Linked DNA regions of Saccharomyces cerevisiae S288C. Changing the gene in region 1 together with any one later gene gives a genetic interaction. Each region holds a gene or a part of one and is shown in the gene's direction. Other genes may lie near its edges. The genes, in order: CIS3, PAN3, YLR257W and YMR181C.

Evidence for each region.
Region 2: mutations in CIS3 (region 1) and PAN3 together harm fitness more than expected from each alone (negative genetic interaction), as found in Saccharomyces cerevisiae (one large-scale study listed by BioGRID).
Region 3: mutations in CIS3 (region 1) and YLR257W together harm fitness more than expected from each alone (negative genetic interaction), as found in Saccharomyces cerevisiae (one large-scale study listed by BioGRID).
Region 4: mutations in CIS3 (region 1) and YMR181C together harm fitness less than expected from each alone (positive genetic interaction), as found in Saccharomyces cerevisiae (one large-scale study listed by BioGRID).

What each region holds. Positions count from the first base shown.
Region 1 is NC_001142.9:121,765-126,334, reverse strand, and holds CIS3 (Cis3p), read left to right. Parts: upstream 1-3,386; coding exon 3,387-4,070; downstream 4,071-4,570. Other genes in the region: cyclin-dependent protein serine/threonine kinase inhibiting protein FAR1, read left to right, coding at 7-2,499. UniProt on the Saccharomyces cerevisiae protein: Component of the outer cell wall layer. Required for stability of the cell wall and for optimal growth. Required for resistance against several antifungal and cell wall-perturbing agents.
Region 2 is NC_001143.9:389,165-394,620, reverse strand, and holds PAN3 (PAN-complex poly(A)-binding subunit PAN3), read left to right. Parts: upstream 1-2,341; coding exon 2,342-4,381; downstream 4,382-5,456. Other genes in the region: SKA1 (Ska1p), read right to left, coding at 67-900; MIN9 (Min9p), read left to right, coding at 1,248-1,475; URA6 (bifunctional uridylate/adenylate kinase), read left to right, coding at 1,481-2,095; glutathione peroxidase GPX1, read left to right, coding at 4,738-5,241.
Region 3 is NC_001144.5:652,250-660,605, forward strand, and holds YLR257W (uncharacterized protein), read left to right. Parts: upstream 1-6,576; coding exon 6,577-7,542; downstream 7,543-8,356. Other genes in the region: YLR256W-A (gag protein), read left to right, coding at 1-190.
Region 4 is NC_001145.3:618,288-626,175, reverse strand, and holds YMR181C (uncharacterized protein), read left to right. Parts: upstream 1-2,095; coding exon 2,096-2,560; downstream 2,561-7,888. Other genes in the region: MIN3 (Min3p), read right to left, coding at 279-365; RGM1 (Rgm1p), read left to right, coding at 1,009-1,644; CTL1 (polynucleotide 5'-phosphatase), read left to right, coding at 2,963-3,925; SPT21 (Spt21p), read right to left, coding at 4,042-6,318; FPY1 (flavin adenine dinucleotide pyrophosphatase), read right to left, coding at 6,873-7,697.

The sequences.
Region 1 (4,570 bases):
CTATTAATGAAGACACCAACAAGAGTTTCGTTTGAAAAAAAAATACACACTCCACCAAGTGGAGATCGTGACGCTGAAAGATCACCACCGAAGAAATTTCTAAGAGGTTTATCGGGTAAAGTTTTTAGAAAGACACCAGAATTTAAGAAGCAACAGATGCCCACATTTGGGTATATTGAAGAGAGTCAATTTACTCCAAATCTTGGCCTAATGATGTCCAAAAGAGGCAATATTCCTAAACCACTGAATCTTTCCAAGCCTATATCTCCCCCACCAAGTTTGAAGAAAACAGCGGGATCAGTAGCATCTGGTTTTTCGAAAACAGGACAACTTAGCGCTTTACAATCGCCAGTAAATATCACAAGTAGCAACAAATACAACATCAAAGCTACAAATTTAACTACTAGTTTACTCCGAGAGTCGATTTCTGATTCTACAACTATGTGTGATACTTTGTCAGACATCAATTTAACGGTTATGGATGAAGATTATCGCATTGACGGCGATTCATATTACGAAGAAGATTCACCAACTTTCATGATCAGCCTGGAAAGAAACATAAAAAAATGCAATTCACAATTCAGTCCAAAAAGGTACATAGGTGAGAAATGTTTAATCTGTGAGGAAAGTATTAGTTCCACATTTACCGGTGAAAAGGTTGTGGAGTCTACGTGTTCACACACTAGCCACTATAACTGTTATTTGATGCTATTTGAAACTCTTTATTTCCAAGGCAAGTTTCCTGAGTGTAAGATATGTGGCGAAGTGAGCAAGCCAAAGGATAAAGACATTGTTCCTGAAATGGTATCCAAACTTCTAACGGGCGCAGGCGCTCATGATGATGGTCCGTCATCCAATATGCAACAGCAATGGATTGATTTGAAAACGGCGAGAAGCTTCACAGGTGAATTTCCTCAGTTTACACCACAGGAGCAGCTCATTCGTACTGCTGATATTTCATGTGATGGGTTCAGGACACCACGCTTATCGAATAGCAATCAATTTGAGGCCGTTAGCTATCTTGATAGCCCATTTTTAAATTCACCATTCGTTAATAAAATGGCAACTACAGACCCTTTTGATTTAAGTGATGATGAAAAACTGGACTGTGATGATGAAATAGACGAAAGTGCTGCTGAAGTGTGGTTTAGTAAAACGGGTGGTGAACATGTTATGGTCAGTGTGAAGTTTCAAGAAATGCGGACCAGTGATGATTTAGGGGTCTTGCAAGATGTGAATCATGTGGACCACGAAGAACTAGAGGAAAGGGAAAAGGAATGGAAAAAGAAAATTGATCAATATATCGAAACAAATGTGGATAAGGATAGCGAATTTGGCAGTTTGATCTTGTTTGACAAACTAATGTATTCTGATGATGGCGAACAATGGGTAGACAATAACCTTGTAATATTATTCTCCAAATTTCTAGTTTTGTTTGATTTTGAAGAAATGAAGATCCTGGGTAAGATTCCTAGAGACCAGTTTTACCAGGTAATCAAGTTCAATGAGGACGTACTACTTTGTAGTTTGAAGAGCACTAATATACCTGAAATATACTTGAGGTTCAACGAAAACTGCGAAAAGTGGTTGCTTCCCAAATGGAAGTATTGTCTAGAAAATTCTTCACTGGAGACACTACCATTAAGTGAGATTGTTTCTACAGTGAAGGAACTCTCTCATGTGAATATAATAGGCGCTTTAGGAGCGCCGCCTGATGTTATATCAGCACAATCCCATGATTCTCGTCTACCGTGGAAAAGATTGCACAGTGATACGCCGCTAAAACTTATTGTATGTTTGAATTTGTCGCATGCTGATGGGGAACTGTATCGCAAGAGAGTTCTAAAGAGTGTTCATCAAATATTGGATGGATTAAACACAGACGATTTACTGGGAATAGTTGTTGTTGGAAGAGATGGATCCGGTGTAGTAGGCCCATTTGGCACCTTCATCGGAATGATAAATAAAAATTGGGACGGATGGACAACTTTCTTGGATAATTTAGAAGTGGTTAATCCAAACGTCTTCCGCGATGAAAAGCAACAGTATAAGGTAACATTACAAACTTGTGAAAGATTAGCGTCAACAAGTGCATACGTGGATACAGATGACCATATTGCAACTGGATACGCCAAGCAAATCTTGGTCCTCAACGGGAGTGACGTTGTTGACATTGAGCATGATCAGAAATTAAAAAAGGCCTTTGACCAGTTATCTTACCATTGGAGATACGAAATTTCGCAACGCCGCATGACTCCATTGAACGCTAGCATTAAGCAGTTTTTAGAGGAGCTGCACACTAAGCGTTATCTAGATGTAACTCTTCGTCTACCACAAGCTACATTCGAGCAAGTATATTTGGGGGATATGGCTGCGGGTGAACAAAAAACGCGTCTAATTATGGATGAACACCCGCATTCTAGTTTGATAGAAATAGAATATTTTGACCTGGTAAAGCAGCAAAGAATTCATCAGACCCTGGAAGTTCCCAACCTCTAGTAGTTCGGGAATCGAGGCCCGTATTTCGAGGCTTTTGCTTTTCCTTTTTTTTTTTTCGTTTCTCCACGTCTATACTACGCAATGACTGAATATATATAATGCGTCGTAAATAGCAGTTAATGTATAAATAGAAATTGAGTAAACTTTAATTTTGCCTAAGAAAGAACCTATTGGCGATAATTAAATCTCGTCATATATGCACTATATATTTTTTTTCGTTTGGCGTTGTTTATCTATTTCCCGAACGGGATTATTTCCCTGAATTAGTTCATAATGAAAAAAACTCGCAGCCGGGTAACCCTCTTCGTACCAAAAATGCACGTGTCTGTACACAATTATACCAACATGGTTGTAGCATTTCAAGTTAGCTTGTTCGAGCTGTATAGTAAAAGAAACGTCGATGTGGCTAATTTGTTCCGGTGACTTTCAGGTCACGTGTTTTCCATGCGTGCGTTGCTTCTTCCTGCAAATCCACGGCTCGTAAAAGAGGACAATCAGCTTTTTTCCGTGGTGCCTGGCCGGGCCGCCTATGCATTCCATACGATTTCCACGGGCCAGATCCCGCCTAGCCCTTCCAGCTTTTCTTTTTCCCCTTTTGCTACGGTCGAGACACGGTCGCCCAAAAGAAACGGGTCAGCGTGTACTGCGCCAAAAAAATTCGCGCCGATTTAAGCTAAACGTCCACAAACAAAAACAAAAATAAGAAATAGGTTGACAGTGGGTGAAAAATTCTCGAAGGTTTCATCTCCAAACAGTCAGTATATAAGTATTCGGGAAAGAGAGCCAATCTATCTTGTGGTGGGTCTATCTTAACCTTCTCTTTTTGGCAGTAGTAATTGTAAATCAAGACACATAAAACTATTTCACTCGCTAAACTTACATCTAAAATGCAATTCAAAAACGTCGCCCTAGCTGCCTCCGTTGCTGCTCTATCCGCCACTGCTTCTGCTGAAGGTTACACTCCAGGTGAACCATGGTCCACCTTAACCCCAACCGGCTCCATCTCTTGTGGTGCTGCCGAATACACTACCACCTTTGGTATTGCTGTTCAAGCTATTACCTCTTCAAAAGCTAAGAGAGACGTTATCTCTCAAATTGGTGACGGTCAAGTCCAAGCCACTTCTGCTGCTACTGCTCAAGCCACCGATAGTCAAGCCCAAGCTACTACTACCGCTACCCCAACCAGCTCCGAAAAGATCTCTTCCTCTGCATCTAAAACATCTACTAATGCCACATCATCTTCTTGTGCCACTCCATCTTTGAAAGATAGCTCATGTAAGAATTCTGGTACCTTAGAATTGACCTTGAAGGACGGTGTTTTGACTGATGCCAAGGGTAGAATTGGTTCTATTGTTGCTAACAGACAATTCCAATTTGACGGTCCACCACCACAAGCCGGCGCCATCTACGCTGCCGGTTGGTCCATTACTGAAGATGGTTACTTGGCTTTGGGTGACAGTGACGTTTTCTACCAATGTCTATCCGGCAATTTCTACAACTTGTATGATCAAAACGTCGCCGAACAATGTAGTGCCATTCATTTGGAAGCTGTTTCTTTGGTCGACTGTTAAATAGCTACATCAAAGTACTAATGTTCTACCTTTTATAAGGGAAAAGAAATAGAAAAAGATTATGATTTGTAAAAAGATTTTGGTATGAATGATTTGTATATTACATTTTTAAGGTTCTCTAAAAGAAGGTTTCTTTTATTTAGATAAATATTTTTTTTTTAATAGACGTAGCCACATGCAGCCTTTAATATACACATTAGGACTGGCTTATTTTTGCCGTGTAGCGAGGCAATTATGTGGTCACGATCACTCGTTGCTTTCCAAGTCTTTTTAACATTTTATAAGATTATTAGATAATGATATACAGAAAATTAGTTATAAAAAAAACATTTTATGGAAGAGTATATAAGGGGCAATTAAGAAAATTAGCATTGCCAAACGAACCAATAATGGGAAAACATCAAGTATGGCTAGCCAAATTCTCGGAAGAATGGATTGGCCAACCGCAGAAAAGATAAATGCAAAGGAATGGATGCGACTAGAGTAGTAGTAGAAAAGGA
Region 2 (5,456 bases), on another chromosome or scaffold:
GCAGCCACACGTAAAAGTATGTGTTTCTAATTCACGTCGTCAAATAGTTATGTCATTAGAATGCATTCAAAATTCTATAGGCTGTCCATTCATGTCAGTTGAGGAAGGAAAAGATTGAGATGTTTTATTATCCTGCTTTTTTTCCTGCTTTTTTTCCTGCTTTCTTTCATCTTTTCTCCTTGCCGTTCTTCTTTCCCTCCGCTTTCGGTCCTTCTCCTTGTTCCTCTGGCTCTTGTTAATCTCATCCTCATTAGTGTTTTTCAACAGTTTATTGTTAATCTCTATCAAAGTCTGGTTCTCAATCTTCAGCTCTTCTAAACGCTGTTCAAGTTCAAGGTTCCTTCTTTCGAGCCCATGAACTTTCTTTTTCAAGTCTTTGCACTCAAGACGTGATTTGCGAGTGGTAACTTCTAGTTTGTCTTTTAGTTCATCGTATGACAGCTCCTTGGCGTTTTTCCTTCGCTTCTCATTCTTCTTCGACCGGTCCAGATTTGGCGACGGACTTGCTCCGTTGACATCTTCGTGGGTGCTCATATCACTAAAATCTTCTACCTCGAGCATTACAATATGTTTCTCCGTATTCACGTTTTCTTCCCTTGGTTTCGATCCGCCCTTTTTGGTTTTCCTCTTTGACTTACTCTTGAGATTACGGGGGTCGGCTCCTCCAATAATGCCTTCTAAGCCGTTTAACAGTTCTTCTATATCTTCTTGAGCAGCTTCTGTCTGCTTCTTCTTATTCAATGCGGCTATCGTACTTTGTGAAGAGCTTTCCTCATGGGCCGTACGTTCATCATTATCATTCTTTAACCAATTAGAGTAGGCCTGCTGATCCGTGACGCATCTTTTTTGGCTATCAATACTGTCATCTAGTAGAAAACCCAATAATTCTTCTTTATTCATGCTTGCACGTTATACCTGGCCGGGATTGGGGCGCTATTCTTGCATTGTATACAATATCCTCATATAATGAACTCTTAATTAATGCGTCATCATCCCAACTTAACACCCCTCATATACCCTAAGTTAGTACTCTCAGACCTATAGAAATAAATGTATCAATATCATGACACCTAACTGATTATATTTTCAACCCTAGGTTTATTTTTTTCACTTTTCTTTTTCTTTTCTTTTTCACCACGTTAACGAAACTTTTAAGTAGTTATGGTGATCTTTTAAAGCGATGCATTCCTGTCTTTGCCTTTAGTCGCACACACCCTCTCCCGTTTTTATGTTAGCTTAGTTATATTATGAATCCACGCTACAGGTTTATACTGAGATTTTATTCTTCGAAAAAACCAACTTTCCACAATACAGCACCTTCGAAGACCAACGTAAACGTACCACGCGCTAACAAAAGTCAAAGCAAGGGTAAACACAAAGGCAAATTGTTGGTACTCGTAGGAACTTTAGCACTCGTGACATCAGTTATTTCGGTAAACTATCAAAAGAACGAACCAGTTGAATTTCTTGAATAAGACAAATGACAGCTGCCACTACATCACAGCCAGCTTTCTCGCCTGACCAAGTTTCCGTGATCTTCGTTCTAGGAGGACCCGGTGCAGGCAAGGGTACTCAGTGTGAAAAACTAGTTAAGGACTATTCATTTGTCCATTTGTCAGCCGGAGACCTTCTACGTGCTGAGCAGGGCAGAGCAGGTTCCCAATATGGGGAATTGATCAAGAACTGCATCAAAGAGGGCCAGATTGTCCCTCAAGAGATTACTTTGGCGCTTTTACGCAACGCTATTTCCGATAACGTCAAGGCGAACAAGCATAAGTTCTTAATTGACGGATTTCCTAGGAAGATGGATCAAGCCATTTCCTTTGAAAGAGACATCGTTGAAAGCAAATTCATCCTGTTCTTTGACTGCCCTGAAGATATCATGTTAGAGAGACTATTGGAGCGTGGCAAGACCAGTGGTAGAAGCGATGACAACATTGAGTCCATTAAGAAGAGATTTAACACTTTCAAGGAGACTAGTATGCCCGTCATCGAGTACTTTGAAACCAAATCGAAAGTCGTCCGTGTTCGTTGCGACAGATCCGTCGAAGATGTGTACAAAGACGTCCAAGACGCTATCCGTGATAGCTTATAGACTAAGACGTATTTTATATAGTTTACGCTATAAGTTACGGCGATATTATATATATATGTAAGAATATATACATATATATTAAAATGATTATATGCCCTCCCCTACATATCAGACCTTTACAGGGTAACCTTAAAATAAACTGCTAAATTATTTGGTTTATGAATTAAAAGAGCAATAATAACAATGGCGGGAGCACTGTTTCGATGATAGGTAAGCCTAAAAGACTAGTCAGACGTATCTTACGCCATGGACAAAATCAATCCTGATTGGGCGAAGGATATTCCGTGCAGAAATATCACTATTTATGGCTACTGCAAAAAGGAGAAAGAAGGTTGCCCTTTCAAACACAGCGATAACACTACCGCTACTACCATAAATGACGTTCCTCCTCCAATAGATGTGGGTGAGGCTACAACTCCGACCATGACATCAGTTCCTAAGTTCAATGCTAAAGTATCCGCAAGTTTCACTCCGATGACAGTCGGTAGTGACTCCTTAACCACTGTGACGAATACCACCTCCGCTGCTACAAATGCTACTGGCAATATCGCCATGGCAGCTACCTCTGCTACTGCTTCTACAGTTAATCCGATGATTAATCCGATAGTTAATAGCTCGTTAGTGAATAACAATAACAATAATAGTAATATAAGCATATCAATACCAACTACCGCTTCGAGTTCCAATTACGACCCCTTCAATGCCCCCATTTTCACTCCGTCTTCAACCTCCTCAATTCACACTAATGCAAATGCACATTCTTTTCCATTTCCCTCCATTGCAAATTCTGGTGGCATAAATATAAACGCCACTGATGATAATAGTAACAATATGAGTATGGCTAATAATGTGCCACCTCCTATGCAACCGCCACCCATAGAGAGTAGTAATCTTAAGTACCCACGTATTTATCCGCCTCCTCACAGTCTTCTACAGTATCACCTATATGCACCTGAACAGCCATCATCATTGAAATCATTATTAAAGCCTAATGAAAGGTCTGCAGATCAGCTTTTCATTCCAAACAATATTAGAGAAGATTTAACCAAGAAAAACTTATCGATTTTGCAGGTTTTCCCCTCTTCAGGTAAAGTTATACCAAGTATTGTACAAGATTATTTTAATTTGGTTCCATTGAACTTCAATAATAACGATTTTTTAAATAAAACTACGCTCTTCAAAGTTTTTTCCAATTATGACGGTAAAGCCTACGTTTTGAAGAGGCTTCCTAACATCGATAAGTCAATGAATCCAAACAAAATATCCAAAATATATCAGATATGGTCAAAAATTAATTGTACAAATTTGATAAAGTTTAGGGACATTTTTCAAACTACTAAATTTGGTGATCTGTCTATTTGTTTGGTCTTTGACTACTACCCAAACTCGCTATCTTTGTATGATTACCACTTTGTTAATTTCCCTAAGTTTCCAATAACGAATAATTATTTATGGATATATTTAGTTCAACTCACCAATGTAATAAACTCTATCCATTCACAAAACTTGAGTATTGGCAATACATTAAACTGGAGAAAAGTTTTGATTACTGGGGACCCAGGGAGAATCAAGTTATCACACTGCAATTTTATGGACCTTTTGTTCAATGATGATACTGATACCGTAGTATCTTCCGGCGGAAGTACCATAGAGGGACAACAACAGCTAGACTACAAATATTTAGGAGAGCTATTATTTAACCTATCCATTAATATTGAAAACTCTAATAACAACACTGCCCCTAAAGAATATCGATTGGAGGAAATAACCCCTCAATCAATTGATGACATGAGACAGATCGATGATAAGTTCAAGGATGTACTCAAGTATCTGATATCAGACAACGGCGATTCCAAAAAGAGCATTCATGATCTTACTAGTCACTTTTATGATAAGATGTTCATGGTCCTGGAATCGTCACAAACCTATACAGAATACATGGAGTCTGTCTTATCAAGAGAACTAGAAAATGGCAGATTATTTAGGCTGGTCAACAAGCTAAATTGCATTTTTGGTAGAATCGAATCAAGAATAGACATAAATTGGTCCGAATCTGGGACTAAATTCCCCATTATACTATTTTATGACTACGTATTCCATCAAGTGGATTCGAATGGGAAACCAATAATGGATTTAACTCATGTCCTAAGATGTTTGAACAAATTAGACGCTGGTATTCAAGAAAAGTTAATGTTGGTAACGCCCGATGAGTTAAACTGTATTATTATATCCTATAAGGAGTTGAAGGACTTGATAGAATCCACCTTTCGATCCATCACCCAATAAAACAACACCAAATAATGTAGATACACACATATATATTAATTATACATTAGTATCCCCTTGACATACCCCACTACCGTCTTCATGTGGAAAATTTTCCGTATTTGCTTTCCCCTTCTGTTCCCTAATTCTATAGGGTAAGCGATTCATCCCTTGTTCGCCACATCTAAGAGAACTTAAAGCCGGGGCTCACCTCTACTACAGAGATTGCTTATGGTGAACAATATTAAGTGATTATATAACACAGTAATGTACAAATATATTTTAGTCATGTAGGTGATATTGTGCACGGCGAGGTTCTCTGATTGTGAACCCGTATAAGGAATATAAGCGGAGAAACACAATATTTATAAGTAACGATGCAAGAATTTTATTCTTTTTCACCAATAGATGAAAACGGAAATCCATTCCCCTTCAACTCCCTGCGTAACAAAGTGGTTTTGATAGTCAATGTAGCATCTCATTGTGCGTTCACACCTCAATACAAGGAATTAGAGTACTTGTACGAAAAATACAAATCACATGGTCTAGTGATTGTGGCCTTTCCCTGTGGTCAATTCGGAAATCAAGAGTTCGAGAAGGATAAAGAGATTAATAAGTTCTGTCAAGATAAATATGGTGTAACCTTCCCTATTCTACATAAGATCCGTTGCAACGGGCAAAAGCAAGATCCCGTCTACAAGTTCTTAAAGAATTCAGTAAGCGGGAAGTCTGGAATAAAAATGATAAAATGGAATTTTGAAAAGTTTGTGGTAGACCGAAATGGGAAGGTGGTTAAAAGGTTTTCATGCATGACTAGGCCACTAGAGCTTTGTCCAATAATCGAAGAATTACTGAATCAACCACCAGAAGAACAGATTTAATTTGCGGTCAACGAAGTTGAAAACGGAAAAGTGGTGATAAGAATGAAAATAAAAGACATATAATTGAATAGTCTCTGTCACCCTTGCTATCGTATCAACAGTTGCTCTTCTATCTTGTTTTGCGTATGTATTTTTTCTAAGAAGAATATGTAGGTTTTAGTCATTTTTTGTTGATTAAGGGAATGAAAATTGTCCTAAAGAACCCTTTCAGTGGT
Region 3 (8,356 bases), on another chromosome or scaffold:
CAAACCCAAAGTTATAGCTCGGAATCCTCAAAAAACAAATAATTCGAAATCGAAAACAGCCAGGGCTCACAATGTATCCACATCTAATAACTCTCCCAGCACGGACAACGATTCCATCAGTAAATCAACTACTGAACCGATTCAATTGAACAATAAGCACGACCTTCACCTTAGGCCAGGAACTTACTGAATCTACGGTAAATCACACTAATCATTCTGATGATGAACTCCCTGGACACCTCCTTCTCGATTCAGGAGCATCACGAACCCTTATAAGATCTGCTCACCACATACACTCAGCATCATCTAATCCTGACATAAACGTAGTTGATGCTCAAAAAAGAAATATACCAATTAACGCTATTGGTGACCTACAATTTCACTTCCAGGACAACACCAAAACATCAATAAAGGTATTGCACACTCCTAACATAGCCTATGACTTACTCAGTTTGAATGAATTGGCTGCAGTAGATATCACAGCATGCTTTACCAAAAACGTCTTAGAACGGTCTGACGGCACTGTACTTGCACCTATCGTAAAATATGGAGACTTTTACTGGGTATCTAAAAAGTACTTGCTTCCATCAAATATCTCCGTACCCACCATCAATAATGTCCATACAAGTGAAAGTACACGCAAATATCCTTATCCTTTCATTCATCGAATGCTTGCGCATGCCAATGCACAGACAATTCGATACTCACTTAAAAATAACACCATCACGTATTTTAACGAATCAGATGTCGACTGGTCTAGTGCTATTGACTATCAATGTCCTGATTGTTTAATCGGCAAAAGCACCAAACACAGACATATCAAAGGTTCACGACTAAAATACCAAAATTCATACGAACCCTTTCAATACCTACATACTGACATATTTGGTCCAGTTCACAACCTACCAAATAGTGCACCATCCTATTTCATCTCATTTACTGATGAGACAACAAAATTCCGTTGGGTTTATCCATTACACGACCGTCGCGAGGACTCTATCCTCGATGTTTTTACTACGATACTAGCTTTTATTAAAAACCAGTTTCAGGCCAGTGTCTTAGTTATACAAATGGACCGTGGTTCTGAGTATACTAACAGAACTCTCCATAAATTCCTTGAAAAAAAAATGGTATAACTCCATGCTATACAACCACAGCGGATTCCCGAGCACATGGAGTCGCTGAACGGCTAAACCGTACCTTATTAGATGACTGCCGTACTCAACTGCAATGTAGTGGTTTACCGAACCATTTATGGTTCTCTGCAATCGAATTTTCTACTATTGTGAGAAATTCACTAGCTTCACCTAAAAGCAAAAAATCTGCAAGACAACATGCTGGCTTGGCAGGACTTGATATCAGTACTTTGTTACCTTTCGGTCAACCTGTTATCGTCAATGATCACAACCCTAACTCCAAAATACATCCTCGTGGCATCCCAGGCTACGCTCTACATCCGTCTCGAAACTCTTATGGATATATCATCTATCTTCCGTCCTTAAAGAAGACAGTAGATACAACTAACTATGTTATTCTTCAGGGCAAGGAATCCAGATTAGATCAATTCAATTACGACGCACTCACTTTCGATGAAGACTTAAACCGTTTAACTGCTTCATATCATTCGTTCATTGCGTCAAATGAGATCCAAGAATCCAATGATCTTAACATAGAATCTGACCATGACTTCCAATCCGACATTGAACTACATCCTGAGCAACCGAGAAATGTCCTTTCAAAAGCTGTGAGTCCAACCGATTCCACACCTCCGTCAACTCATACTGAAGATTCGAAACGTGTTTCTAAAACCAATATTCGCGCACCCAGAGAAGTTGACCCCAACATATCTGAATCTAATATTCTTCCATCAAAGAAGAGATCTAGCACCCCCCAAATTTCCAATATCGAGAGTACCGGTTCGGGTGGTATGCATAAATTAAATGTTCCTTTACTTGCTCCCATGTCCCAATCTAACACACATGAGTCGTCGCACGCCAGTAAATCTAAAGATTTCAGACACTCAGACTCGTACAGTGAAAATGAGACTAATCATACAAACGTACCAATATCCAGTACGGGTGGTACCAACAACAAAACTGTTCCGCAGATAAGTGACCAAGAGACTGAGAAAAGGATTATACACCGTTCACCTTCAATCGATGCTTCTCCACCGGAAAATAATTCATCGCACAATATTGTTCCTATCAAAACGCCAACTACTGTTTCTGAACAGAATACCGAGGAATCTATCATCGCTGATCTCCCACTCCCTGATCTACCTCCAGAATCTCCTACCGAATTCCCTGACCCATTTAAAGAACTCCCACCGATAAATTCTCGTCAAACTAATTCCAGTTTGGGTGGTATTGGTGACTCTAATGCCTATACTACTATCAACAGTAAGAAAAGATCATTAGAAGATAATGAAACTGAAATTAAGGTATCACGAGACACATGGAATACTAAGAATATGCGTAGTTTAGAACCTCCGAGATCGAAGAAACGAATTCACCTGATTGCAGCTGTAAAAGCAGTAAAATCAATCAAACCAATACGGACAACCTTACGATACGATGAGGCAATCACCTATAATAAAGATATTAAAGAAAAAGAAAAATATATCGAGGCATACCACAAAGAAGTCAATCAACTGTTGAAGATGAAAACTTGGGACACTGACGAATATTATGACAGAAAAGAAATAGACCCTAAAAGAGTAATAAACTCAATGTTTATCTTCAACAAGAAACGTGACGGTACTCATAAAGCTAGATTTGTTGCAAGAGGTGATATTCAGCATCCTGACACTTACGACTCAGGCATGCAATCCAATACCGTACATCACTATGCATTAATGACATCCCTGTCACTTGCATTAGACAATAACTACTATATTACACAATTAGACATATCTTCGGCATATTTGTATGCAGACATCAAAGAAGAATTATACATAAGACCTCCACCACATTTAGGAATGAATGATAAGTTGATACGTTTGAAGAAATCACTTTATGGATTGAAACAAAGTGGAGCGAACTGGTACGAAACTATCAAATCATACCTGATACAACAATGTGGTATGGAAGAAGTTCGTGGATGGTCATGCGTATTTAAAAACAGTCAAGTGACAATTTGTTTATTCGTAGATGATATGGTATTGTTTAGCAAAAATCTAAATTCAAACAAAAGAATTATAGAGAAGCTTAAGATGCAATACGACACCAAGATTATAAATCTAGGCGAAAGTGATGAGGAAATTCAATATGACATACTTGGCTTAGAAATCAAATATCAAAGAGGTAAATACATGAAATTAGGTATGGAAAACTCATTAACTGAGAAAATACCCAAATTAAACGTACCTTTGAATCCAAAAGGAAGAAAACTTAGCGCTCCAGGTCAACCAGGTCTTTATATAGACCAGGATGAACTAGAAATAGATGAAGATGAATACAAAGAGAAGGTACATGAAATGCAAAAGTTGATTGGTCTAGCTTCATATGTTGGATATAAATTTAGATTTGACTTACTATACTACATCAACACACTTGCTCAACATATACTATTCCCCTCTAGGCAAGTTTTAGACATGACATATGAGTTAATACAATTCATGTGGGACACTAGAGATAAACAATTAATATGGCACAAAAACAAACCTACCAAGCCAGATAATAAACTAGTCGCAATAAGCGATGCTTCATATGGTAACCAACCATATTACAAGTCACAAATTGGTAACATTTTCCTACTCAACGGAAAAGTGATTGGAGGAAAGTCGACAAAGGCTTCGTTAACATGCACTTCAACTACAGAAGCAGAAATACACGCAGTCAGTGAAGCTATACCGCTATTGAATAACCTCAGTCACCTTGTGCAAGAACTTAACAAGAAACCAATTATTAAAGGCTTACTTACTGATAGTAGATCAACGATCAGTATAATTAAGTCTACAAATGAAGAGAAATTTAGAAACAGATTTTTTGGCACAAAGGCAATGAGACTTAGAGATGAAGTATCAGGTAATAATTTATACGTATACTACATCGAGACCAAGAAGAACATTGCTGATGTGATGACAAAACCTCTTCCGATAAAAACATTTAAACTATTAACAAACAAATGGATTCATTAGATCTATTACATTATGGGTGGTATGTTGGAATAAAAATCAACTATCATCTACTAACTAGTATTTACGTTACTAGTATATTATCATATACGGTGTTAGAAGATGACGCAAATGATGAGAAATAGTCATCTAAATTAGTGGAAGCTGAAACGCAAGGATTGATAATGTAATAGGATCAATGAATATTAACATATAAAACGATGATAATAATATTTATAGAATTGTGTAGAATTGCAGATTCCCTTTTATGGATTCCTAAATCCTCGAGGAGAACTTCTAGTATATTCTGTATACCTAATATTATAGCCTTTATCAACAATGGAATCCCAACAATTATCTAATTACCCACAAATTTCTCAGATGGACTAGTAGATTTTTATAGAGCAGATTTTCCAATATGGGAGTGATGCGGTTTGTTTATGTATAAATAGAAAGGGACATATTTTTATTATTATTATTTTAGTTATTTAGCATGTATGTTATTTTATCGGTGAATTGTAATGATCGAATAATAATTGGAGGTTGAAGAAGTTGCAAAAAATATTTACTTGGACGAGTCCGGAATCGAACCGGAGACCTCTCCCATGCTAAGGGAGCGCGCTACCGACTACGCCACACGCCCAATTTTCTTGTTGTCTGTTGTGTTTCAGAATGGGGTACGTCAGTATGATAATAATCATCCTAAACGTTCTTAAATTACATATGAAACAACCTTATAGCAAAACGAACAGAATGAGCAACATGAGATGAAACTCCGCCTCCTTAACTGAACTTTCCAAACGTATAAACGCCTGAAAAATTAGTTTAGATCCGAGATTCCGCGCTTCCACCATCAAGTATGATCCATATTTTATATAATATATAAGATAAGTAACATTCCGTAAGCTGATAATCCCTTTTGGCAACTCGTTACTTCCCAAAGACTGTTTATATTAGGATTGTCAAGGGACCCCGGTATTGCTCGAGCCCGTAATACAACAGTTGTCTTTCACTGCTCTCTATGTTTTGAGACCTCCAGTTCACCACATATATTCGATCTTTTTCTTACTGTTGAAGCAAGAATCTGTTGGAATGAAGGCCTAGTATTGTCTATTGACTAATATTCATCTTACTAGTATATTATCATATACAGTGTAAGAAGATGGCATAAAGATTGAGAACCAGTCATCAGACTAATGAAAGCTGAAATGCAAGGACTGATAATGTAATGGGATAATGAAATATATAAAACGGAAGGAGAAATAACCGTGATATTATTATGTAGATTTACCGACTCCACTTGGAGGATTTCTCTATTCTCGAGGGAAACTTGGTATATTCGTACACCTAATATTATAGCTCTTGATAACAATGAAATTTCAACAATTATTCACTCAACCCTCAAGTGTATATCGCCAAGATCCTAATCACCCCTCTCTGGTGGCCTTCCCTCATTGTTTTTACACAGAACAAGAATCCATAAAATCAAGATATTGGGAACAATTCATTGTCTTAGGAACAAGTTTTTATAATTTAGTTTCATTAGCCTATTGTAACTTCTTGTTTTTTTTTTTTATTTTGGCTGGCAAAACAAGAAGTATAAAGAAGTTACCACTGCTATAACGTATATCTTAAATCAAGTGGGCAATTCTTCGAATAAACTTAGAGGCGCTGAAGAAAGAACCGCTCAATTAGTTCGATCATACAAAATACAGATATTGCGCTGTGTATTATCATTACGGAAAGTGTGATATAAACAATGCTGTGTTGTATTCGGTCTTTTTTTTCCGCCTGGAGATTGTCGTTTTTGTTTTTTTTTCTCGTGTAGCTGCAGTTATCATCGTTTTGCATGTCTGTTCTGTCGGTGAAGCCGATCTCATGGCACTTCGCTTTGATACCGTAAAGAATCTTCTTCATTAATACGGCACTGCAAGGCGATATCTATCTCTGGGGTTAGGACTGATAAATAGGTACTTATCAGTTATCACTAGAGACGAACTGTTTACGTTTTGAAGCTCGACAGCAGGGGTTCTTAACGGGCGTCGGCCTAGACCTCACCTTGCGAGAAATTTTTAGTTCATATCCAGGGGATGGTGAATGGTTGGATCTGACGAAGCCACGGTAAGGGCAAGGCTTTGCGCATGCACTGGCCACTATGCATACCATATATAAATAGATAATCAAGCGTATAGAAAACGACATGCTAAGTTATTTTACTCAGTGTTAGGTCTCTTAGTATTTGCGTCTGAAAAGATCTTAGCTCTGTCTTTGACTCTATCACTTATTTTTAAGAGGTTCTCTATTCGTCAGTGATAGAAATAGCATTTTGACCCGCACGACATTGGTTAATAAGAGTACTTTTCCACGTGTTTCGATTGCCTTTATTTTTAGCATACTTGAAAATAATATTATCGTGAGATTTAGGTAAAATATACCACATATCAAGAGAAAGAGAAGTAAGAATGGTTGACGCTAGGGGTAGTACGCCATGTTTAATTGGTGATTCTATAAGAAACGTTAATGATGGAAATAGTCTGGATTTCCAGTATACTAATCAGTTTAATGAGGAAAGTGAGGCTTCGAGGTTACTAACGCCACAAACGAGTTCCAATCACGCCCTAAGCAAGATGCAGAAGGATGATGATATTCGAGATAGATCTTATACATCTGTAGCGGAATTGAATCGTGAGGGTGCTTTGCTGACCGACGAAGTTGATTTGGAGAATGTTGATGCTTCGAAAGTTCGCAGCAATAGAGACGACCTAGAGGCAGAGGAGAAAAGGAAAAAACTACTCTTGTTGAAAAAAAAGCAAAGAAATAAATCCATCAACTCGGAAAGTTTTTCCTCTCCTTCTCTGCGTGCTTCCAAATCTAATTCACTGATTACATCAACTGATCCTGTCGAAGATCACATCAGTAAGTACTCTTCATCAGGCACCCCTGAAAATATTACAGGTGAGGCAGACGACGAAGACGAAGACATAATCAGAAACTCTTACGGGCAAATGATCAAAAACAATTCCAACAGGCCACATTTGGCGAAGGGTGAATCGTACCAGTCCGCAGAACAGGAAATAGATCATACGGCGCCTGAAAAATCAGAGAAAAGACAAGAAAGAAGCGGTAGATCCTTTGATAGACAAAAATCTTCGGCTGAGTTTCTAAGATCCTTATCGAGGTCAATAAGTCGTGGACCCACAAAGAACAAAACGGTTTCGCCCTCTAAGGGAGAAGACTCTAGAATGTATAGTACCAGCAACTACTCTATATCATTAGTTGATTTGGAGAACGGACCCAAAATTATCCCGGAAACTTTAGAAGAAGAGCAGGAGGACGCCGAAAAGGAGGGTGTTTTGATGGAAGACGAGGGTAATGAAGAATACACCAAAGATTTGGAAGAAGCAGCTAACAAAGCTCAACCACAGTAGAATGGAATATTGAAACTGGAGTGACTTCTGATGAAGTTTCCAATTATTTATATGTATACATTATTTATTTGTCTATCATTAAAATTTCTGTCAAGTAATGGCTTTTTATGTTTATTTCATGGATTACGAAATTTGCTGGCTTTTTAGAGTGACCGATGAGTTGCATGTACATATGTGCGAAATAAAACAATACGGTAGTAAAACATGAATACTTCGAGAAGTAAATTCAAGATTGCAGGCGTAGCACAAGAATGTCCTTCCGCCTGCTAGTGTGTTGAGCAAAGCACGCCATCACTAATGGAACCCTTACAAAATCTCGCATGGAGCAGCAAACCTTAAATCCATTTTCTATCATTCGTTCCTGAGGACCCGGATATCGTTTTAGAGACAAAAATAGATACTACAAGAGGAATAGGGATATCTGCACATGGGGCCTCGAGCATGGCTCATTTTCGATTTTCCGGCACGATGCTGACTTAGTACTATCATGCCAGGCAGGACAGGCCTTATGGGGTTCTTGCAGCTTACCAATTCTGACACTGGACTGCCCCTGGATTAGCGACCCCGCGACCCCGCGACCAGACTCCCTGAAAATGGTAATTGGTGATGATATATGTGACTGAGTTCAGCCTGGGCATACAATGTTTAACCCTTTTGGACATGGAATTAGGCCAGCAAAGGGAGCAGCTTTCCCCGAAAGCGTAGTTTTTCTCCAGGAACGCAATTCACCCCTTTCTTTCTTATGCAAGCTCCTCGTACATATATAAAAATATATGAGTATATATAGTGCTTCTACAGCATAATCAATTTAAGG
Region 4 (7,888 bases), on another chromosome or scaffold:
ATTTTCCCTTCGCCTTTTATAGTGCCCATCGGATAGGATATTCCATCTTTGTCTTGCGCCCACTTCGTTGTCGTTACCCGCACGTTGTGTTTTTTGAGGGCTTGAGCAAATTCTTACAGTTAAGGTACAATAGTTGTCTCGAAGAGCAGTACATCAACGGCCTGACGACCTACAGTAGCACTTTCCTTTAAGTGTATATAAACTTTCCTTTTCGGTAAGGGATGCAGGAGAAAGGGCGAGTTTTGTTTATATGCGATCCTTTATGGTAACCTTTGCGGTTAATTCAGCATTATGGTTGCTGATGCACACTTAACGAGGGGAAGAAATATTATGTTACATGCATGAAACGCACTCGGTTTTCTCATGGTCTTTCTTTTTTCGGGATTTCTTTTAATAATATCTTTAAAGTATTACTGGTAGTCGGTCTTTCCCCACACAAAAAAAATTAAAAAAAAAAAAAAAAAAAAGAAACTTTCCGGCGCTCCTTCAGGAGTCTCGTAACTGATGCTTTTTCTCTTCCTAATATTAAGATAAAAAAAAAATTAAACACCGGTAGCAACTTCTCGAGCCATAGGGTCCTGCACACCCTGCCATGTTACCGCACGGACCATTAAGTTACGTGGATGCCGGACTCTCAAGCCATGAAAAGTTTATCTTTATTTAAGTAGAGTTTTTCCTTCTTCTCAAATTTCTGAGAATTTTTATCTTCGATCATTCCCTCTTTTTTTCTTTTTTTCTTTTTTTCTTTTTTTCTTTTTTTTTTCCCTTCTCTTACTTTCTTATTTTTTTTTTTCATTCCTCAGCGGATCCCTTCAATCGTTTATAACATTATTTTCCTTCTCTTTTCTTTCATTGTATCTTCTTGATTTCAACTATTGTTTGTGTGTATATGAACAGACGCCTCCTTCTCTTTCTTTCGTGTATTCTTGATTCAATTGCGACTTCATAGCACTATTCCTCCCCACTCACGTCTATAGTCCAGGACAATTAGCATGACACTGGTTAAACATGAGAGGAAAACAACCGAAAAGGAACAAAGACAACGCTTCTGTCAAGAGAAATTATAGATGCGTGGGATATCCTGATTGTAACATGAGTTTCAATAGGACCGAACATTTGGCTAGACATATCAGGAAACACACAGGGGAGAAACCATTCCAATGCAATATCTGCCTTAAATTCTTCAGTAGAATCGATAACTTAAGACAACATCAATCTTCTGTTCATTCGGACGTTGATTTGATGTCCTTACGTAGACTGCAGCAGTCCGCAAATAGCACTGCGAACGACCCTAACGCAACAAGAATGTTCCCGCAATTACGCCCATATGGAATTGTTGTCCAGCCCGCGCCTGTTCCATACAATCTGCCCATATCAACTCCTGCTAGCCCACAAGACACTATATCTCTTTACGCACCACCATACTTCCCTCATCCTATGCCATCTGCTCCCATACCATTGCCGCATCAGCCTCCTCCACTACCAATATACAGCTATATGCAACCACTCTTCCTGAACCACACTCCCATACAAAACCACAACATTGTAGAGCTCCCTCCAGATAGCAGTGACACTCCAGCATCGCCGTCTAAGGTGCAAAGTTTTGACCAGGCCAAGGACGCTTCACCAAACGCAAAAAAATAAGCTCTACCGCACCCACTCCTCCATTTCACAAGCCGCATCATTGCTGCTATTGTACCCTCTTGGCCATTCGCGTGCGCGTTGATTGCCGTTATTATGCAGATATTTTGATATCGCTTGCCGTTTGGCTCATCTCCGCGCCCTTAAAATATATCCGCTTCTGTTGGGAAATGCCGAGCATAAAAATGCCGAAAATATAAAAAGAACAAGAACAATACCCTTCGAGGGAAACGCTATTTTCCTGTCCACACAACCTTAATTAATTCGCACGTCTGTGCCACCAAGTAGCAACTGGTTCGTATTGCTTTATCTTTCTTGCTTGTTATTACATTGCTGTAAGATAACAAGCAGCGTTTTACTCTACGGATTGTTTATAAGGATTTTGTTCCTCGACCCCTTATATTTACTCACCTTCCCCCTACTCTAATTCTCCTGATTTCAGAACAAAAAAAAAATGACTCCACTTTTGCAGGCGGAAGCAAAAATGAACACAAGCCTCTACCTTACGGAAAGCATCCAACAACATGAATTCAACCTCACCAGCCCTCAGTCATTCTATTCTTCTCCCTCGGTACCCAATAGTAAAAATAACTCGGGCATTTTCAGCTATAACACTGCCAACAACAGTAGGGTGAGTTCTAGTGATGAATTCACTACCCAACAAGACGGCATGAACACCATAATGTACAAAAACAACATCAGTAAAACTTTCGAAGACGACATCTTTTATTGTCCAAGAAGTTTGCTCACCCCAGAAGAACAAGTGGTATACCAGGAAATTGACAAGTATTACATGGAACAAGCACTATTGACCCAGTTACAAATCTCCCAAACGTATTCCTCCACTCCTAAAGAGGAAAAGATAGTTAAGTTCAATCCCTACACTTCGAAGAGTTTCAGTCCAGCTTCTTCTGAATAACTAACGAGAACACGTTCACTACAGACATGGGGCTTCTTTTCCTTTTTTCATTTTCTTTCTCTTATTATTCTGGGTATTTCTTATTAATCGGTTGAACTATGTATTACGTCGAAATTTCTTTAATATTTCTTTGTATTCTTCACGACGAATTGTTCATTTCATTTTACTCCATTTTTTCAGTATTCCTGGGGCTACAGGTATATGTGGCAAAAAATTTTTTTTCTATTATTTGACGGGATCTCCTATATATTTTATACACTTTTACAGGAAAAAAACTTATTAGTTTTCAATATTTTCTTTATTTTTTTTTCCTTAAGACAACTTTGTTGACTACCAGCAAAATGGGAAAGAAAAAAAAAGCACTGAAAAGGAAAAATGAAAACACTATAGGAAGTTTAAGATATGTCTGACCAACCCGAGACTCCTTCCAATAGTAGAAATTCTCATGAAAATGTTGGCGCAAAGAAAGCTGACGCTAATGTTGCCTCGAAATTCAGAAGCTTGCATATCTCTGAAACCACTAAGCCATTAACATCAACTAGAGCTTTATACAAAACCACAAGAAACAATTCAAGAGGTGCGACAGAATTCCATAAACATGTTTGTAAGTTAGCATGGAAATATCTTGCTTGTATTGATAAATCGTCGATATCACACATTGAAATCGAAATGAAATTTGGTGTTATAACAGACAAAAGGACACATCGCAGGATGACACCACACAACAAGCCCTTTATTGTTCAAAACAGAAATGGCCGCTTAGTGTCTAACGTTCCTGAGCAAATGTTCTCGAGTTTCCAGGAGCTACTCCGCTCAAAATCGGAGAATCCAAGTAAATGTGCCCCAAGAGTAGTAAAACAGGTACAAAAGTATACGAAAGATTCTATATATAACTGCAACAATGCCTCGAAAGTTGGCAAATTAACTTCATGGCGTTGTTCGGAAGACCTTAGAAACAAAGAACTTAAACTTACTTACATCAAAAAGGTCCGGGTCAAGGATTTTCTCATTCGCTATCCTCAAAGTTCATTAGACGCTAAAATTAGCATCAGCCTTGAAGTGCCTGAATACGAAACTTCTGCCGCTTTCAGGAATGGCTTTATTTTACAAAGAACCAAAAGCCGTTCCACCTACACCTTTAATGATAAAATGCCTTTACACTTGGATTTGACAAAGGTTACTACCACGCGAAGGAACTCCCATCAATACACGTCCCATGAAGTGGAGGTAGAAATGGATCCTATATTCAAGGAGACAATTTCCGCTAATGATAGGGAGAAGTTTAATGAGTATATGTGCTCGTTTTTGAATGCCAGCGACCTTATACGTAAGGCTGCAGAACGCGATAACATGTTAACGACATGAAAATGCTAATTAAATACTTCTTTTTGTTCTCTATAAGGTGCTACATGTATGATCTGAGTATATATATATATATATATATATACATGCTGTGCTAGGAATAAGTTCATGTAATATTTTCAGTGTTTTATTGACTGAAATTCACCGATGGGACTTGTTACTACCTGACTTACTCTTATTCCTGAATGGATGAATGTTGAGAATAAATCGTTGGTCTTATCGCTTTCATTATCATCGCCGATATTGTGTCCTTGCTCTTCTTCAACTATGTCCTCAGATAATTCCATGGGTTGATGATAATTGAACATCCCACATGGTGAAGACGGTATTGCCTTTTGCTTTTTGAGGGCTTCCTCCTCTTCCTCTTCATCCAAAACTTCTTCATGAGATCTCTTACTTTGCTGAGTTTCCAGCATGCTAGTAAGCTTTTTCGAAGCTGTAACATTATTATCAGAAGCTGGCTGGTCAGCTGGAGTAGAGAAATTTATAAGCCCTGCCTGAGGTTTTGTATTGTCCGAATCTATTACAGATGCCTTTCTATCTTTTATATCATTATCACATGGGGTGGCATTATTACTATCTGTTATATTTAGTGTCGATCCTTCTTTAATGGATATACGCTGCATGTTTGTTGTCGAGCTTGAATGTGTAAGTTCAATTAAAGGTATAGACAACGAGTCTATTGGGGAGGTTTTGTCAACATCGCTAGGCAAAGATATTTTATTATTTTGCGCTGTTTCCAATTCACTGACATCTTCATTTTCGAGAGCAATGGTGTTACAGGTGTTTGGATCGTTGAGTGTTATAGAAGGCTTCAAATTTTGCTGATTGAGTTGTGATGCACTTGCAGAAGTTGGTGATTCAAAAAAATTGCAATTGAAATTGGAAAACCATCCCATCTCATCTTTAAATACTACATCCGAAAAGTCACTCATGGGGAACTCAGCGTTAAAATCCAAGTCACCTTCAAGCTTGTTCTCTTTACTAGTTATGCTTTGGGGTGGAATATTTTCTTTATCATTTTCACTAGTTAAAGATATCTTACGCCCCTTTTGTTTTTGCTGCAATTTCTGCCCTTCAATGCCTGGTTCCGATAGAATGTCACTTAAAATTGAATCGTCATGATCATTTAAATGTTCTATCACTGATGATCGCCTACATCCTGCTTGTGTAGACTTAGCCGAATTTTTGGAATTCGAATTCTTAACTTTGACAATCGTTTGCTTATCATTTGCTTTTTTTTCACCACTAGTCTTCGGCGGTTGCTTTGGATTTATGTTTATTGAAGCTGGTTTTTTTGCTATCGTTGCTATACCAGGTGACACTTTTTTCGTAGACTTTCTTTTGTTGAGCATAAAATCGAACCTCTTGCTTACCGAATCATCGATCTTGGTCCTCTGAATAGTATTATCGTTTTGCAAAGTATTTATTTCGTAAGCTATGTTTTGATGCTGGTTGTTTTGTTGATTGGCTTCTGTTTTTCTATCTGCTAAGTAGATTTTGTGCGCAATTGAATTTCTTGGGAAACCAGTATTCGCTATATTTGGTTTAAGATTCCAGATGGGTAAAGACTGAGTTCTGACAGCTTTTGGAGCAGGCATAGGATTCGTCTGTCTTCTTCCCACAGTCCCGCTATTAGTATTATTTATTGTTATCGTGGTCCTTGCATTCCTTGAATTTTTTATTTGGTTTGTCTTGAAAAGAGATTGCGATTTTGGGGTAAACGGAAGTGTTGCTGATGGTAAAGAAGACGGCATTTGAAGACACGATATCCGAGAATTTGTAGTATTGTTACCAGACGTCCTTAAATTGGTTATAACTTTTGTGAATCTTAGTTTAACCTCCAAAGTTTCTTCCGGAATTTGGTTGTTTACGACCCTTCCCTTTTTATTCGAGATGTTGCTATATGATCTTCGTAGTAAAGCGGAAACATTCGAGCATACCCTTCCAGTAACTATAAAAGATTCATCTTCATACTCTTCTTCAGTTACCTCATCTCTCTCTTCACTTTCTTCTTCACCAATATTGTTTTCTGTATACTGGTAGGGGCTATTCTTATGAAACTTTTTTCGAAGCCCGGAAAGAAGACCAAGGCTTACTAATGGCTCATCCACTTCACATATGTCACGATAATACAAGTTATAATCATATCCATCTTTTAAAGTGTCATGGTCTAACACTTCAGGTGAATTTAAGTATATTTCATGCAGTATAGTCTTCAAATGGATGGCGCCAATTCGCAACTCCGTTTGCTCATTCGAATCTGTCGGGAATGGACTAGGAATATTAGCAACTCTTACCTGTTTTGGAGCCCTTGAGCGGGCTAAATAACTACCATTGGATCCATTATCCAATGTGTAAAGGATCTTCAATGTCATTTGAGAGAGTTCAGACATTTTACCAGAGTCTTTTGTTCAAGTGAATACCAATTCCAATCCAGGTTTCAGTTGCACCTGGTCAAATTGACTTCAGTTATGTGTGTTGACTAGGTTCAGCTTAAGCGTTGCTTATAAAAGAAGAGATGTAGTAAAGCAACAAACTCACCACGGCTCAGTGCAATTCCCAAGAACCGAACTCTCCATTCAATGGGTCTTTCTCTTCACACACACCTTTTTTCTAACGCGACGCGTTTTTTTTACCTTTTTTATATCACGAAAAAAAACGCGACCGTAAATGAAGGTTTTTCCTTTCATGGAGCAGTTGTATCTATTGAATGAATTATATACCTTTTGCTGGTTTGGTCCTTTCGGATATGCATTTTTCAAATGTTTACTTTAGCGATTGAAGCTCTAACAGTAGCAATGTGATCTTTAATTTTTCAAGGTACCTTTCTACCACGAGCAGTGTACTTTTTTGTTGAGAAGAAAGCGCAACTACCGGCGATGACTGAGATGACTTTGCTCCCAAAAAAAAAATCTATATCTATACATAGTTCTAAATACTCGGGTATTCAGCTCTCCTGGTTCGAGAACTTGTTTTCAAGTTCAGAAGAAATTACTTCTCCCTCGAGGTTATTAACAACTCTATTGACAATACTCTTCAGATATGAATCGTCTTTCTTTTCACCCAAAATACTAACTGTATTGAATCCCATACCAAAATGTGGGTATGAGCCTATTTTAATGGCTTCTGAAACTTTTGTTGATTCATCCTGAATCAACTTTAGCTCTTTAGAAATTTGAGACTCAGTTAGGTGTGTTCTGACAAAATAACGAACATACTCACGTGGATCCTTGTCCAAATTATATATTTTTTTCAACGTGGGAGTGAACGCTTTCAGCATCCTTGCAAATAGTTGAGGGATACCGGGTAGTATATACATTTTGTGAGATATAGAACAAATAGGTACCCACAAGTCATCACACACATAATAATTTTTGACGTTTGTGCCTTTTGGCATGGTTGCCATTTGGTAATGCGCCTTTAGAGCATCTGCATCAAGCCTTGCTTCAGGGTCAGATTTATGCCTCATTCGTTCTTTGCATTCTTCATCTAGTTCACAAGGCAAATTAAAGCTTTTCGCCATACATTCGTAAGTGATGTCGTCATGAGTGGGGCCGATTCCACCTGTACTGATGATAAAATCATAATTTTTGACTAATCTTCTCACAGTATCTACGATCTGGGTTTCATCATCCCCTATAGTTGCAATTTCTTTTAATTGAATTCCATGATCAAAGCAATACTTCGCAAAAAAAGTGGAATTTGTATCAACTACTTTTCCATTCAGCACTTCATCACCAATTATGATACAAGCTGCAGTTACTTTCACCATTATACCCTTGACAGTATATACTTTGCCTCCTTCAGTAATTCTTTTATGTCATTATTATCACCAGTAATGACTGCTATTGTTATATCCCTCGCTCTTTCCTTTTTAGTCTCTCGGGCAGCCATAGTCGTTTTCCACGTATATTTTTAATAGAGAAGATCCTAAAACATTCAGTTAGAGTATTATAGTTAATG